2 linked regions of the Caenorhabditis elegans genome follow. The protein of the gene in region 2 interacts with the protein of the main gene of each other region in a biochemical or structural test. Each region holds a gene or a part of one and is shown on either strand. Other genes may lie near its edges.

Evidence for each region.
Region 1: the proteins of frpr-15 (region 2) and flp-8 interact in a test that uses a peptide from one of them, tested with the Caenorhabditis elegans proteins (one large-scale study listed by BioGRID).

Annotation. Positions count from the first base shown.
Region 1 is NC_003284.9:14,878,411-14,885,304, reverse strand, and holds flp-8 (FMRF-Like Peptide), read right to left. Parts: upstream 3,887-6,894; 5' UTR 3,768-3,886; coding exon 3,645-3,767; intron 3,576-3,644; coding exon 3,442-3,575; intron 3,389-3,441; coding exon 3,238-3,388; downstream 1-3,237. Other genes in the region: sssh-1 (UPAR/Ly6 domain-containing protein qvr), read right to left, coding at 6,586-6,689, 6,748-6,831, 6,885-6,894.
Region 2 is NC_003283.11:12,676,297-12,685,017, reverse strand, and holds the start of frpr-15 (G-protein coupled receptors family 1 profile domain-containing protein), read right to left. Parts: upstream 4,912-8,721; 5' UTR 4,784-4,911; coding exon 4,757-4,783; intron 1,676-4,756; exon of another isoform or gene 1,594-1,675; intron 1-1,593.

The DNA of each region.
Region 1 (6,894 bases), on a different chromosome or scaffold from region 2:
TGGTTAAATCCTCTAAGGACGTTTTTTGAAAACGACGAACTAACTGAAATTTTTTCAATTTCCAAAATTTAATTTGGTGGAAAAATTGCCGAAAATGTCCGGCAATCGGCAAGTTCCGGAATGGCCGATTGTCGGAAATTTTAATCTTCCTCAATTGCCGGAATCGCCGAATGCCGAAAGCTTTCGATTGCCGCGTACCCCTGTTTCAATGGAAATGGCTCACATGCTCATTTCCCGGCTTAAAAATTATTATTTCTCAAAATAAGTCTACGAATTGCAGTTACTTATTAAAAATTGAAAAAAAAATTTAGGCTACAGTTACCATTATTTTGATAACTATGGTTTAGATAAATACGACTTCAAAATTTTGACAAAGTTTGTAGAATGTAAGTTAAAAGAAAAATCGAAACAATTTTTAATTTAAGACAAAAAATTTATAAACAATAAAAGTTTAACAGTTTGCTTGGTAAAATTCACAGCTATGCGATTTCAAAAAGGTAGGTTTTCTTCCGTAAAAATTTCCGTCAGTAAATCACTATAAGTTCTCTAAAATTAGAAAAAAATCACTTTGAAATTTCTAAAAGAGAATATTGGAATTTATTTTCTTATCATGTTTAACATAAATTCAATCCAGAAGATAAATTAGACATTTCCGCGCGGTTACGTTTGATTAAATGATTTTCCGTTTTTCGCTTTCTAATTTCTTCACTTAGTACTTTGCCATTTTTCAACAATTCTTAAGCAAGTCAATAGACAGATTTAGTTTGGTCAGAATTTTGTCTGTGTGTTCATTGCGGAAAAAATCACTAATTTTCATTAAAAATAAGAAAAAAAATCTTCTATCTTGTGGCATCCGGAAAGTTTGAAAAGAAAAAAATAAAAGAACAAGTTGTTTCGTAGAAAAAATATTCGGGATAGATTTTATCAATTCTCTGTATTTGAAGTAGATGTTTGATGCTATTTGTTAAAGGCGTTCTTGTAAATTTTGAAATAGTTAAGAAAAATATATGTTTAAAGTTTTAAAGATATGCTTTAAATTTTCAAATTGGCAAAAGTTGCGCTAAACTCGAAAAGTGATTCAACTAAAATTCAAAGCTGTTTATAAATAAAATTCATTTTTAAATTATTGATTTCAATATACATAAACTCTTTGCTTTTTGACACATTAGGAAAGTTTACGTAACACATTTACGAATTTGAATTTCTTTATCGTTAAAGCCAAACTATTAAGTTACAAACAAATTGTAAGATTTTTAATGGTCCTACATTAATAAGGAAATTTCGTACAAATCACTTTTTTCCAAACTTAAACATTTCTATATTTCTCGTAAAATTTAACAAAAAGAATCGAAAAGTTTAGATCAATCGTAAAACTCGCAAAACATAAAGCAGTAACGAAAAAATAGTTGTCCTCCTCCTCCTCCTCCTCCTCCGAGAGAAAAATCGTGTGCAGAAGCAATAGCGTGGCCAGATTACGTGGTGACGGTAGCGGCGGGCAGTAGAAACTAGCTGTCAATAGGACGGTAATTGTCTGCCATCATCATCGACTAAAGTGCGACTAATGGCAATAGCCCATACCTCCACCACAGCTGGTCAACATCTCGTTTATCCTGTGTTGCGAACATTTCCGAAATTCTTCGAAGCGTCTTGAGAATTTTTACAACAATATAAAAGAAAAGTATTTCAGGGATAATCTTCCGTCCTCAAGTGTTTGTTTTCCTAATTGTTTACCAGATTCCGCTTGACTAATTTTTAGTGAACTGAAAATTAATTTGCACTGACCAAGTATTTCTGCTTAAAGTATACACCTTGAATTTAAATTTTGCCGTTGACTATATCGCCCAATTTTTTTTTATTATGGCAAGCCATTCTTCACCGAATTATTGAGTCATCGGACTAGTTTCGGAGGTGACGAGGCATGAGAATAAGAAAGTTTCGGCTTTCTTTTTTATCCGTGGAAAGTGAGATCCAGAAGAAAAGTGGCGGAATTTCAATAACTTTGAGATGACGCATTATTACGACAACGAAGCAGGGGTTTTTTAATTAGAAAATCTGAGATGAACTTACTTTGCAGATAGTAAAAATAAAGTTTTAAGGTATAAAAAAGGATTAAAGGATTAAAAGACGATCCCTTCTTCAAGTGCGATGCACTGCGGATCTAGGAGCCAGGTACACTGCCTGATGGTGCTCCTACTGGGCTATAATTTAAGCCACGTCCTAGCCGGAGACTGTGGCGGAAAATCCAGTTATGGATTGCTCACCTTGCCAATGGAGGCTGGGTGAACCTAGGGAGTGAGGCCGGACTTGAACTCGTGACCTCCAGATTGCTAGCGACCACCACTACCGACTGAGCTATCAAGAACTTAGTAGAAAACGGTAAGCAGTTTTGAAGCATTGAGAATTTCAGTTTAGTGGGAACTGAAAGTATAGTTATGTGTTTTAATTTAGAGAAAATTCTTGAACTATCAATCGTGAAACTCGGCTGAAGCCCACTCCTATTTTTGAATGTACTGCAATAGAACCATCTTGATTCTAATTTTCAAAAAATCTTCTATCAAAAACTATGACGCCAAAATTATCTTGTTTAGACTTCTTGAAATCGCTTGGCCCCATCATTTGTCAAGCAAAAAAAAATCACAAGTGTCCCACGTTCTCGTAGCCTAGCGAAACATGAAATATGTTGTCTCATTTCAACAAAAAATTTACTTTTCTTCTTCTCACTGACTATACAACATGTTTGGGCCGAGAAAATTGTATCCAAATTGTGAAATATTTCAATGACACAGGATTTCGGATAGAAAGATATACACAGTTTTTCCTCGAAAACCGGTCTTACGTCTGTTTGATGCGCGCGCCCGCAGGGGGATCATGCGTACTTGTAAGCAAATTTGAATACGATGAGTGGTCATACAAAGAAAAAAAACGGATTTGGTCATTCGGCTGGGACATATTATGCAATTCATACATCAAGCCTGTGAATATCCAAGTCTTGTGAAAATTGAGATAAGATGGAAAAAAAAAGAAAAAAAAACCAGAAAAACAATGAAAGTTTATTCTAACTGACGTTTTGCAGAGATAAAAGAAAAAAAATTAGCATGGAGAATAAGAAATCTAACAAAACATTATCAGTATAGAACACAATTTGGCCCAAATCATCAAGAAGCACACATCCATCTCTGAACGCGAATCACCCGAATCGAATGAATTCGTTCTTTCGTTTCTCCACTGCAAAACCACTTACAGATAAAATACATCAGAGGTGTAACCGAAAAACTCACTGGAAACGTCGTTGTCGTCGAGTCCAAGTCCCTTATCGGATCTTCCGAATCGGATGAACTCATTTTTTCTCTTTCCAAACCGGATGAACTCGTTCTTTCGTTTTTCCATTCTGAGAAAGAAATGATATTTGAAATGACCGACAAATACCAAATATGTACTAACCCGTCACTGCGTTTTCCAAATCGGATAAACTCGTTTTTACGCTTGTTCATCACCGGAACTTCTTGATCGTACAGTGTGACATCTGTCTGCTGCATCACCTCCTGCAAGGCTCTTTGGACGACTTGCATCTCCGCCTGCAAAACATTTTAGATTTTACAGGAATAAAAAACCACTTTGGAAACTAAAAAAAATGATCAACATACCTCAAGATGGCAAATCCGGAGTCCGAGTTCCTTCTCATTCTCGGTGGTCAGTGCGGACACATCACAGCTAGCGTTGGCCGATATGGCGAGTACAAAAATAGAAAAAAGGACTCCGGAGAGCATTTTCTACTTGAAAAGTGTGGACTGAGCACTGCTCGTGGCTTATATACTGGTCCGTCTTCTCCACTAACTTGGGCTCCGCGCACTTTGCTCCGCCTTTTCAGAGGCCACGCCTTCTTGTGCTGAAGAAATTCTAGAGTGTCCACTGGAAGGCGTTTGGTAAAAGAACGCGGGGGCATAGAAAACTTGAAATGGTAAATTGCATAAAACAAGTAAGAAACAGTAAAGTGCTTGTTCTGAGATTTATCTGAAATTGATTCATCGAAAAATTAAATTTACTCCGGTTTTAAAAGTCGTAAGACAATAAACGTGTCTTTGAGAGCAAGTTGATTCAAATTTTAAAAATTTGCTGAAAATCAAGTTTCGAAAACCAACGATATAAAAAAATTTTTTTTTAAAGTTATTAAAAATTATCTCATTTGAAAATTTATTGTATAAACCAGGTTATCTCAACTATCAGGTTAAAAACCGCTTTTTAGGTAAGAAACGTTATCTACGAAAAAACAAATTTTTCCAGATCAAACTTTAGAGTCATACAGTACCACCAAGAAAAATTTTAACATTTTGACATTGTTGTAGCAATTCGTTTGATTTGAAAATGGAAATTTCTCGAAGCTACCCTCGTTTTGAAAAATGAAAACAATGCATATTTATATTTTTGTGTCCTTATTTTGTTTTTTAAATTTTTTTAAAGAGGCCCACTTTACGTTTTTGTGTGTTTTCTTCTTCCTCGTCTATCTATCAGCTGTATAACCGAGCAGTCGAGGGACTGAACACAGTGAATACACGGAATTCATGCTGGGAGGTAACTAACAGATAAATTTAGCCACCGACACCCTCCGAAACTAATTATACCAACTCTATGCATTTGTAAATTGTTGACGTAACACTTGGACTTCTCCTTCATCTAATTCTTCAACTTTTTTCCACCTCTTCTCGGGGGGGGGGGGGGGGGGTACTTTGAAACCAAAAACTTATCCACCGCGCAAATTATTCATCACGAATCAGTTGCTTCCTCGATGATTCGCCTCGCAAAATGATTTCACGGCAATCTCTTCATAAATCTTGCCCTCCAATCATTGAATATTCATTCGAGCAACATGAAACTACGGTGAAGATTGCGTGTATTCAAAGTAAAGGTGCCCACATACTTTTTGAAGAGATCGTCCATGACGAAAATGAATTCATTTAAAGTAGAGTAAAACAAGACTTTTCAAAGAGAACAAAATATCAAGGAGTTCTTATGTCAAAATGGGATGGTCAAAAATGGAAGTCTAATCATTAAATAGTGAATGTCTTGAAAGTCAGTCATCTTATCCTGCATTATAATTATGTGCATAATAAGTGAATTTGCTAGTTTATCACTCCGCCATTGTTTAACAGTAGTCAGTCAGCTTTTTGATTATTTTCCAAAAGTATTCATTCATATTTACAGTGAATATTTTGAAAAATGTATTGTCCTTTAACTATAATTAATGTTGAAAAAATGTAAACCATTCTGTAAAAAGTTGATAATAATTATTAACTGCTCTGAACTTCTCGGAAAGTTATATATTTTCGTCGCCTCGCTATTTTACTAAAACCTTGACTGAAAATTAAGAAAAACTGGAAAGTTTTTGTACGGTTTTATTTTGATATGCGGCCAGCTTGAAACAATATTTACGTGTTTAAACAAAATGTATTTATCTTTAAATATAAATACAGTATTTCTTTTTTACTTGCACCACCTATTGAAAATCAACCCTGTATATTGAATTGAAAAGCTTCCAAATTATTTGATAATTTGACATTTGATAATCACTTTCCGCTTTGTTATATGTAATCTCAAAATTTTTCTTCCGCTATCAAAAATATGCTCGTTTTACTTTTTCTCTATTTTATCACAACATAAAAACCGATGAACGATACTGTTGTGACCGCAAATGTGAGAAGAGGAATCCAAAACACATACACACAAAAATAGTGACGAACGTAATTTCCAATGCATGGTCTTAAGACGGAACACACATAGTTTTTGGCTTGAAAATGTCAAAGAACTGTTTTTTTTCCTGGAAAATGGAAAACAATAAAATTATGGGAATTGTTTCGGAGTGGTTTCCGGCCCATGAGGTACTGATAGGAACTAACAAAAGACTCTTATTTAATTAACTCATTTATTACGAGTGATTCAAGGGGAAAACCTTGAATCACTAACACTCAACATTCATTTAAACGTGCCACCGTCGGGCACGTGCTGCGGTGGTGAAGACCGATGAAGACTGACGATATAGGCCAATGTGCGCTGCGCCATGATGACAAGAGTACGGTCGCAGTCGTTGTTGTATGTGTCGTGGCGAGACCTCATGCGCCTTGAATCGTCCTTTTGGCGGTAGTTTGAATCGGGGTTTCTGACGCCGTCCTTCTGCATGGTTGTTGCCGTTGATTGAAGAGATGATGTTGAGTGTTGAAGAGCAAGTGTTACGTAATAACAATGAATCAATCTTTACATTTAATCATTTGTTAATAAATCCTTAGATTTATTAATAAGTCGTGAGCGAGTGAATCTTTGTATTCACCGACTTCGTGACAGGAATATTCAAAATAGCGAGCTGAAGTTCAAGGGTACTGTTCGAGGAGTAAAAAAAAATTTGGAAATTAAAAACACTTTGGCTATTCTGTGTTCCTTTAAATTTTAATAAACATTTCCAACAACGTAAAAACATTTATTTGGTATGCAATCAAAATACTTCGGCAAAAGTTCTATATAAAACCGATGGAAAATGAAAAGAATAGAGATCTAAGTTTGATTTGATTCCGATATGTAGGTTTAATGAACAACTCATCATAATAATAACACAGCTGCAGAAAACATAATTATTAGTATTAGATTTAAATTGACGTCATTGTTGCATAAATTACCATCGCATGTGCAAACTTCAAGGTTTCCTGAAAGTTATATATATATTTTTTTTTTATTATATGGAACAATTTGAATATTACATACCTTCTCCACTAGTAATTTTTGTACAGTCTGATCGGATTTGTTCTTTTGCATTTGGTATGCAACTTCTCCAAACATGATTGATTCCTAAAATAAGTAAAAAGAAAATAAAATAAACAATTAATTTTGATCTATCTCACCGCTTTTTTC
Region 2 (8,721 bases):
AATGACTAAGAAATTTGAAGAGATGGACCTCCAAGGCGTCTTGGTTGATTTAAAATTCCACATTTTCTTTGCCTCATCTTTTTATAGATCGCGGTTTTCAGTCTCCGTATTTTAGACCTCAAATATAGAAAAAAGATAAAAGTGATTCTATGTTTTTTTGCAAGTTACAAACTGAAACGTCTGTATTTTGTTCAACTGAAGTTATTGAAAATGTAAATTGCAGAAGTTCAAAACTAAACGAACAATAAAAACGCGTCTCAATTTAAAATAAAATGCTTTACAACTTGTCGTAAAACGAAAGCGGGGCGATACGACCAAAAGTAGATTATAAATTGTCAGAATTTCAGAATTTTTGAGGGCCTTCTTGAGGAATACACAAAAACAGAATACTCATAGGAACATGTGTCGGATATCTTCAGGAAAAGGGATCAGAATTTATGAATTTGAGTCGATACTTTAAATCTAATGGAATAACTTCTTATTTGCGAGTGGGCTTCTAAAGCTGTTAATTAGTAAATTTTAAATTCGCTAAAATTCGAGAAAATTAAGAAAGTTTTAAATTAATACTTGCAGTCCATTTTGAAACTTTATCAAACGTCTTTAACATTCTACTTTCTAACATTCCCCAATATCTGCAAAAATCCTTTTGCATATTTTTTTGTTTGATGCAATTTTGGAACGCTTTCTTTTTTCCGTTGTTGTTCGAGTTTTTTATTAAGGCGTTTGATGGGCGCGAATGCTGACGGGCGAGGGAATGGGAAGATGGATGTCATAAATTGCTCCACCCGTTGAATGTCTATACAGAAATATGAAAAATCACATATCGTTAAGAAGCGAACACTATTCGGAGTGCATCTCTTTGGAATAAATTGTAAGCTAAATAGATATTAGTATTTTCGTAAACTCCCACATATCGCACATCTACTTGGAAATTAAACTTTTTCCTATAACTATGTCTCCTTATACAATTTTTTGTTTTTGCTGCAATGTTCCCAGAATTCATAAAACAATATATATTTGAAATCTTGAATCCCATGTCACCTATTCCAATTTATGGTTGAGGAGTTAAAATCTTCTTGAAATCAGGACACACATATTGAACTAGAAAAATTGAAAATGCGAAGAAGTTCTTGGAAAAAGAGATACGGAAACATATTAAAATAATGCTTCATAACACAGTGAATTAATCAGCACTTGGTTTTCTTGGTTTTGTTTAAAGAAAAGAAATAGATGTATGTGAACACACAAGTCCCGGAAAAAATGAACACAAGAATCCACATAAGATCCTTTGAATGTAAATGCGGCGTAATTAGTTTTGCTGGTTTTTTTCGGTCTCTTTGAATAAATGGGATGCTGTTATGAGCAAGATTTCACAGATTTGAAAGCGATGGGATCTTTTAGCGGAAGCTTTTGGAAGACTTTTTTTTTAATTGAAAAAGAAATTGAAAAAAAGGGGAAGACTTTTACAAGTATTCTATAAACATAAGAGTACACTGAAGTTATGTTTCCACTAGACTGGCACTTGCAAAATAAACATTTTCCGTTTTTCTCTGTTTCCGATGGAAACCACTACCCGGCAATGTTCAGGACACGCGGTCCTGTGGTGTAGTGGTTATCACGTCTGCTTTACACGCAGAAGATCGCCGGTTCGAACCCGGCCAGGACCTAGGTTTTGCTTTTAAGTGATAGTTGATGTACTAGAAAACAGTAATTTTAGAAACGGAAGTATTTTTTACCCCTTGGGGCCAGTTTCACAGGAAACTTGTTTATTTTTATAATTATAATTCATTTGTTTATTAAGAAATTGCTAATGCACCATATTAGATTACTGTAGAAAGTTTACGTGCAGATCTCAACTTTTAAGTCTTTTTATAGCTCATTCAACGCGTTTTTTAACGTTAAAAATGTATTATGAGGTGAACAAATCTCACATTAACTTCAGAAAGTTGGAAGAAACATTAGAAAATTTGGGATAGGCTCGTAAGCTTTCAATATTCTACAGTAAATCATTTTACTAGAATGCGCCTCTAAGCTCTTAAGCTTATAGTAGGGAGAGATTAAAATTTTAAAAAAGAGAGAAAGAAGGTATATGCGTCCAAGCTATTCTAATTTTGGAGTAAAACATTATAATCTTCAAACTTCAAACTTTTTTGTCTTTATTAAATGCTCGTAAGATCAGCTCCCCCGCTGAATAATGGATGTCTGATACGCATGGGATCAGAAGATTTAGATGAGATTAAAATTCGTGACGATTTTTAATCTATTTTTGCACATCCCTCAACATCTATACATTTCGACAAAAAAATTTTACCTTATGGAAATCTTTGAGTTTTGGTATGAGCCTAATACATTTTCCACCACAATTTCCTGATCAATTTCTCAAAACGACTTGTTGTGATGTATCCCTTAATTACGCTCATATTCTTTTTAAAAAATGCCTTCATGCTCATTTGATCTATGAGATTTGGTACGAAAAAAAAGAGGAAAAACGAGAAAGTTGTACCTAATTGCTTGTCGTTTGTCACGTCACAATGATACAAACATGTACGAATGAATGAAGTGAGAAAAGTACAGTTGAAGATTTGAGAAATATTCAAACTAAATTTACGCGGTCAAAAAAAAGGAAATCGAATCAATGCAATCTGGAACAAATGCGCGCGACACAACACCATGTCGTCGATACAGGTGAAATTTTTGGTAGTGAGTGTACGTGTAAGGAAATGAAAAATTGAAAACTAGAAACATATTATATTCACCTGCAACTCTAAGACAGGTTAGAAAAACATTTAAATGGAAAGTGTCGAGTGTCTAATTCAAAATAAAAATAGGTTTTTCACGGAGTTTTCAGCGAGAAACTTTTCGATTCCATGGCATTTTGAAGTGGGTGACCAGACTTCTCGAGTTAATTTTATTAATATTTTGTGACTTATAGCTTCGATGAAAGTTCAAAAAAAACACATGTTCTGTATGAAAATAATGTGTCGTTTTTTCAAGAATTAGGAAATTTTAATTAATTAAATATTATTTAAAATAAAAAAAAATTAAATGAATTACTAAAAGAGAACTTCACTTAAAAACTACTTACATAATTTATTCTATATTTTGTTTTCTTTTTTCCTATAACGTTTTCTGGTGTTCGTTGAATTCGTTGAATTAATTAAAACAAGAAAAAAGAATGACCTATAACGACCAAAAAGCTTTTTCGATCATTAGAAGACTTATTGGTTCCGAAGTTCTTTGATTTTTTGAAAAGTGACTATATCAATTGTCTTGATTTTGAACTATTATTAAACATTCCAAAATTGATTTAAGAATGTGGTAGAAAACTTTGAAATCCAAAATTTACCACTGACCTTTTCGGACTGAACTGAACTTTTCATAGTTTACTTCCGACACAACAAAAAGAATAAAGACCATGAAAATGATCACTGTGGTCCATAATCTTTCCAATTTGTTCGCTTTGCTTAACAGTTGCTCATCTCGTTACCACTTTTTCCCTCCCTTCTATTTTAGGAGAACATTCCTTCAATTCGGTGGCAAAAAAAATAAACGAGCAAATTTTCTGCTAGGAAGTCATTTTCCTTCCGTATTCTCTCCTCAAAAAATGGTGAATGTCAATGCACACGTGATCCGGAAGGAAACCAAGGACAACCTTCGGTAGTATTGGATTTGTGATCTACCACTAAGATACACTTGGACATTTGAAGAGGTTAATCCTTTCTTCATTTTGAGCTTTCACCTTCCTGCTGCCAACTTTTGGAAACAAAATAAAGAAAGGCTTCTTCCTGGTGCAAGAATAGGATGTCAGGACTCAAATTTCATGAATTGAGAAAAAGAAGGGTCTAGAAAAAGGAAGGATTGTGTGCAAATAATGGTAGAGATGAGTTCAAAGCACAAAAGATCAAAATCAAATCAAAAGGTATATTGGGGATAATTCTACAATGTAAAAACGTATTTAATAGTCTGGGCCAAATCCACAGACTTCATGTGTAGTCTGCGGACGGAATTTGCTGAGAATGTAGAATCGTAGAATAGTTGATTGCAGACCATTTTAAACTCTGACCTCTGAGTCAGTTTCCCCTCACATTTTAATCTTCATCAAAGATTGTTACGTCACACGCTTTTCTGTACAATGCAGATGGATAAAATCAACATGGAAGCTTAGCGCCATTTCTGGAGATCAATTTGAAAAAGGAAACTCTGACGGTTTGTCAGCACTATTATGGCTATTTCACAGTTTTCTGAAACGTCGCCTTGAATGCGCATGGGTATGTTCAAATGGGTCTCACCGCGAGAAAAAGTATGGTTTGCCTTTTTTATCTAGTCAGCACAAGGAGCGTGACAACGGAAAAAATTCCCGGGCATTCGCACCTTTTACTACCCGCATGTTCCTTAATTTGGGATTTTGTGTCACAAACACAAGGTTTTTATAACTAAAAATTAAAAATTAATAGTTTTCGTGTTTACATGACTAAAAAAGATCATAAACGTTTCACATGTAATGAGAATGAATTTTTGAAATATAAATTTACAACAAAATGTAGGTTTCTAACTGAGTATGGAAAATGCTATGCGGTGCAAAAGGCAAACGTAATTGTAGAGTAGGAACTGAACACAATTTTTGTTGAATGTTTAAAAATACTTTTCAATTTCTTGAGAAAAAGGTAACAGCTGCAAAAATCAAGCAACAAAAACTTAAAAGTGTATAAAATGCCTCATAATGTAAATTATTATTCAATAAACTATAAAAACATACCCTTAAAATGGCACGATTCGAAGTCATTTTGATAGCTCTGTAGTGAATCTTCAAATTCTCACAAATTCGTTTCTCTGAAATTGAAAACGTTCCGATTTGAAATTAAAAATCAAAGATAGAAAAAAAGGAAATCAAGATCTATCGAATGTTTGTATTGAGGTAAGTGAGAAAATTCTTTAATCAAATGCAACGATCAGAGTAGCGATTTTAGGATTTGATGGAGATGCTCTTAAAAAAGAAAAGGAAAGCAGGAAGGAAGGCGGGGTGCTCTTGTCCACGAATTACTAATGGCAAAAAGAAACAAGAAGGAAATGGGAACTGACTAACGGATAACGAAGATCAGAAACAAAGTAGACTTATTGTTTTTGACACTCATTCTCCAAGAATTTTCATTTTTAGGAACTCCAGCGTTTCCAATAATATAATCCTTTTCCAGCATATTTTATTTTAAAATTCCACATTCCTCACAGATGTCATTAAATTTTTAAATTTTTTCGTAAACTCATTTTTCATTTTCTATGATAAATATATTTTCAACTTGAAGTAATCATGAAAAAATAAGATATTTATCATCTTTTTGTGACGTAGATCATATATTAAAATATATTCACTCAAATTTCGAATGACTTCAGTTTGTTAAAGACGTTCGGATGTTCCATTCATCAGACCCAAAAAAAAGACGATCAAATAAGCTAATCAGCAGAATAGCTTTTCTCGGGAAGTATCTCTAAATTATTCTAGGAAGAGATAAAATACTTTAAGGCAACAAAACAATTGGTTTACAAAGTATGAGATTTTTTCGTAAGAAAAATGAGTGACTGGTCAGTGAACTAAAAAAGAAGATATGCGTCAAGAGCAATTAGGGAATTGGGAAATAAATGTGCACAAAAGTTCAGAGAAATCAACGAACTAAAATTAGAAAGGAATAATCAGGTTGAAAAGTCATCGAATGAATCATAATAGTCATTACCTTCACGAGTTTAAAAACTTAAAAAGTCAGACTACAGCAAAAGTATTTAAAATTTTGAAACAATTCATGCAAGCTATTTTGAGTTGTTTCGACGAGCTATTTTGAGTTGTTTCGACGAAACTTGGCACGTAGTCTTTGTTTATACACATACATTCAATTTTCCTATTTTAATATTTAAGGGTCTAAAAATTTGTTTGCAAACTCTATGATATTTTTAAAGAAAGTGGGCAAATTTCAAAAAGATAATGCCCATATATTTTTAGAGTTTAATTTTAGAATTTTTAAATATATCCACCGCAAATTATATTTCCAATGCGTCAGAAAATCCAGGTCAATAAAACAAGAAATTGTAACAAATCAGAATTTTTGTATTGAATCAGAAAGTAATAAATTCAATTTGAAATAGGAATCGGTAGACAAACTATGTTATATTGAATCCTAAATGATATCATAACACAAAACAAGCATATTTTATTTCCTAACTTCTTATTCAGCATGCTTCTTCTGCCAGGCTGACTAAATGATGAGCTCACACGTTAGGGTAACGGAAAAATTATGATTGAAGATGTAGGAAAAAAGCTACAAATTAGAGAATCTTTGCTCTTTGTCAATTTCCTTGCAAGCCCATAATCTTGAATTATAGCCTAAAACTCTGAAAAACAAAAAAATAAAAGTCATTTTCAAATACTGAACATCCAAGCTGTAACCGGAAGAAAATATTATGAATGAATGAAAGAGACAAAAATTGGGAGTGTCAAGACTTTGAGGCTCTACGTAGGTTCTTAAATTATTAAGACGTTTAGACAAAAGAGACGATGAAACTGAACTTCAACCGATGAAAGAGAAGCATGTGGGAGTGGTAGAAAGAAGCTTTGACCTGTATGCTTTTGACAATACTAGAATGTATTGTTTTCAAAATAGAGGTCCTCAAACCGAATTTTCTTATGGTGAGGACGGCTCGTCGGATTTTTGAATTTTCTAGATCTTTGCAACACCTTTGAGGAGTTTGAAAGTTTTCATTCTTTGAAAGTGAATCATCATAATACATCATAAATTTCACACATATTTACTAGTCTACATTTTTTGGATAATAAAGGACTGTCAATAAATACAGGGAAGTGAGAATGATTGTTTCCAAGTTTTTAAAGTTTTTGCTATAAATAGCTCAAACTGAAATAACGCTTTATATGAAAATCTTCAAAAGACTCAGGATAACCCAAATTTTATGCGACTTCCTAAATTTTTTCAAAACTTGTGGCACTTTGAAATTTTGAAAAAAAGATGACTTGCCGAAAATATTCAATTTTGGTCAGCCGTATTCGTACATTTTTATTCAATTACACTCATATTTAACACATGTGTGAACATTTTTCAAAAGTTTTGGAACTATTTTACATTTTTAAAGCAATAAAACATTAATAAAACAACTTCACCTATAATTGGAGCATTGCTTTTTTGAAACATCTACCATTAAAATGAACAAACAAACTGTTAAAACTTTCATTCATTTTCTATTATATTCGCAGTATAGCAAAAAAAAATGGGCATAACATTTTTTCTCTCAAAATGAGCTCATGTAAATTTTGACGAGCAAAATAAATGAACATTAGGAAGAAAAATATCAAGGAACCTGCGAACGTCTATCAAAAAAATTATTCATCGAGATGAGGATGTTTTTTATTATGTGGTTATTCAAGTAATGCCGGAAAATTAAAAAGTGTAGAACAATTACGTCACAAATGTATCCAAGTATACAAAAACATGTATTTAAATACATTTGTGACGTCACAAATGTATTTAAATACATTTTTCTACATTACTTAAATAACCCCATTAGACTTCTAACTGAACAGAAAAAGCTGAGATCACCCAAATTACACTTGGATGAATTAATCTTGAATGAAAAATACCTGGATACTTTGAATCCTAAAAAAAAGAAAATAATAGTTCTGCACTAAATCAGGAAATAAAAGTCAATAGTTATTTTTTTAAAGGATATTACAGTACAATGATTCATAAGTTATTTTAACATAAATCAGCCTCATTCAAATATGCCGAAAAAGAACAGAATCACATTTCAAAATACGGAACTGTATTTTTTCAACAAAAAAAAATCAAGATGCCTTTACGAGTAGTTCTCACTTAATAGGATATATCCTACATATATATGTAAAATTAAAATTATTTGAGATATTTGAGACCCAAAAATCTGCTCAATAGTATACACGCACTCTGTGATACATTTTCGACTTTATTTTAAAATTCCATACTCTAAGTCCCGCCGCGAAAACTATAGTAACCCAGGAGAAGTGCCTTCAGATGGACTGGCGGGAATTTGGATAACTCAACGTAATCTCTCTCGTTGATTAATTAAAAAAAAAATCTAAACCGAATGAATGAAAACATATTATTAATAAAAACTGTATTTTTGAGCTGACTCCACAACTAATCTCTATTAAAAATGAGGATTTTTGATGAAAAGAGGGGTTGGTCATTGTTTTTTTGAAATACCAAAGTTCCGTTTAATCTCTGATGATTACCTACAACTATTGTGGATTTTTCAAGTTCACACGTATTTTGCAATTACTACTAATCCTTGGACATATTTATTTTTCAAAAGAATTTCAAACAGACGAACTATAGACGGAGCATGGAGCACTTTTGAGTTCAAAAGTATCTCGGAAGGAGGCGTCAAAGGGTGTCCAAATGCTCAACGAAGCAGAATTCAAAACGGAAATCGGATTTCAAAAAGCAACGGAAAAAAACGCAAGATATTGAGAGAACGATCTGTGTTTTATTTTGCAGAAACTCGTTCAATTCGATTTTACTTTAGAAATTCACTTTCACTTTTTGTTTCCAAATTTTCAATAGAACTGTGAAAAGGGAAGTACTCTCTTTTTGAAAAAGAGGTTAAAAGGAAGTTGTGAAAAAAAACAATAAGGGCCAAACAATAGACACGCAATTTTAAAAGAAGAGGTAAAGCACAGAAAAAAGT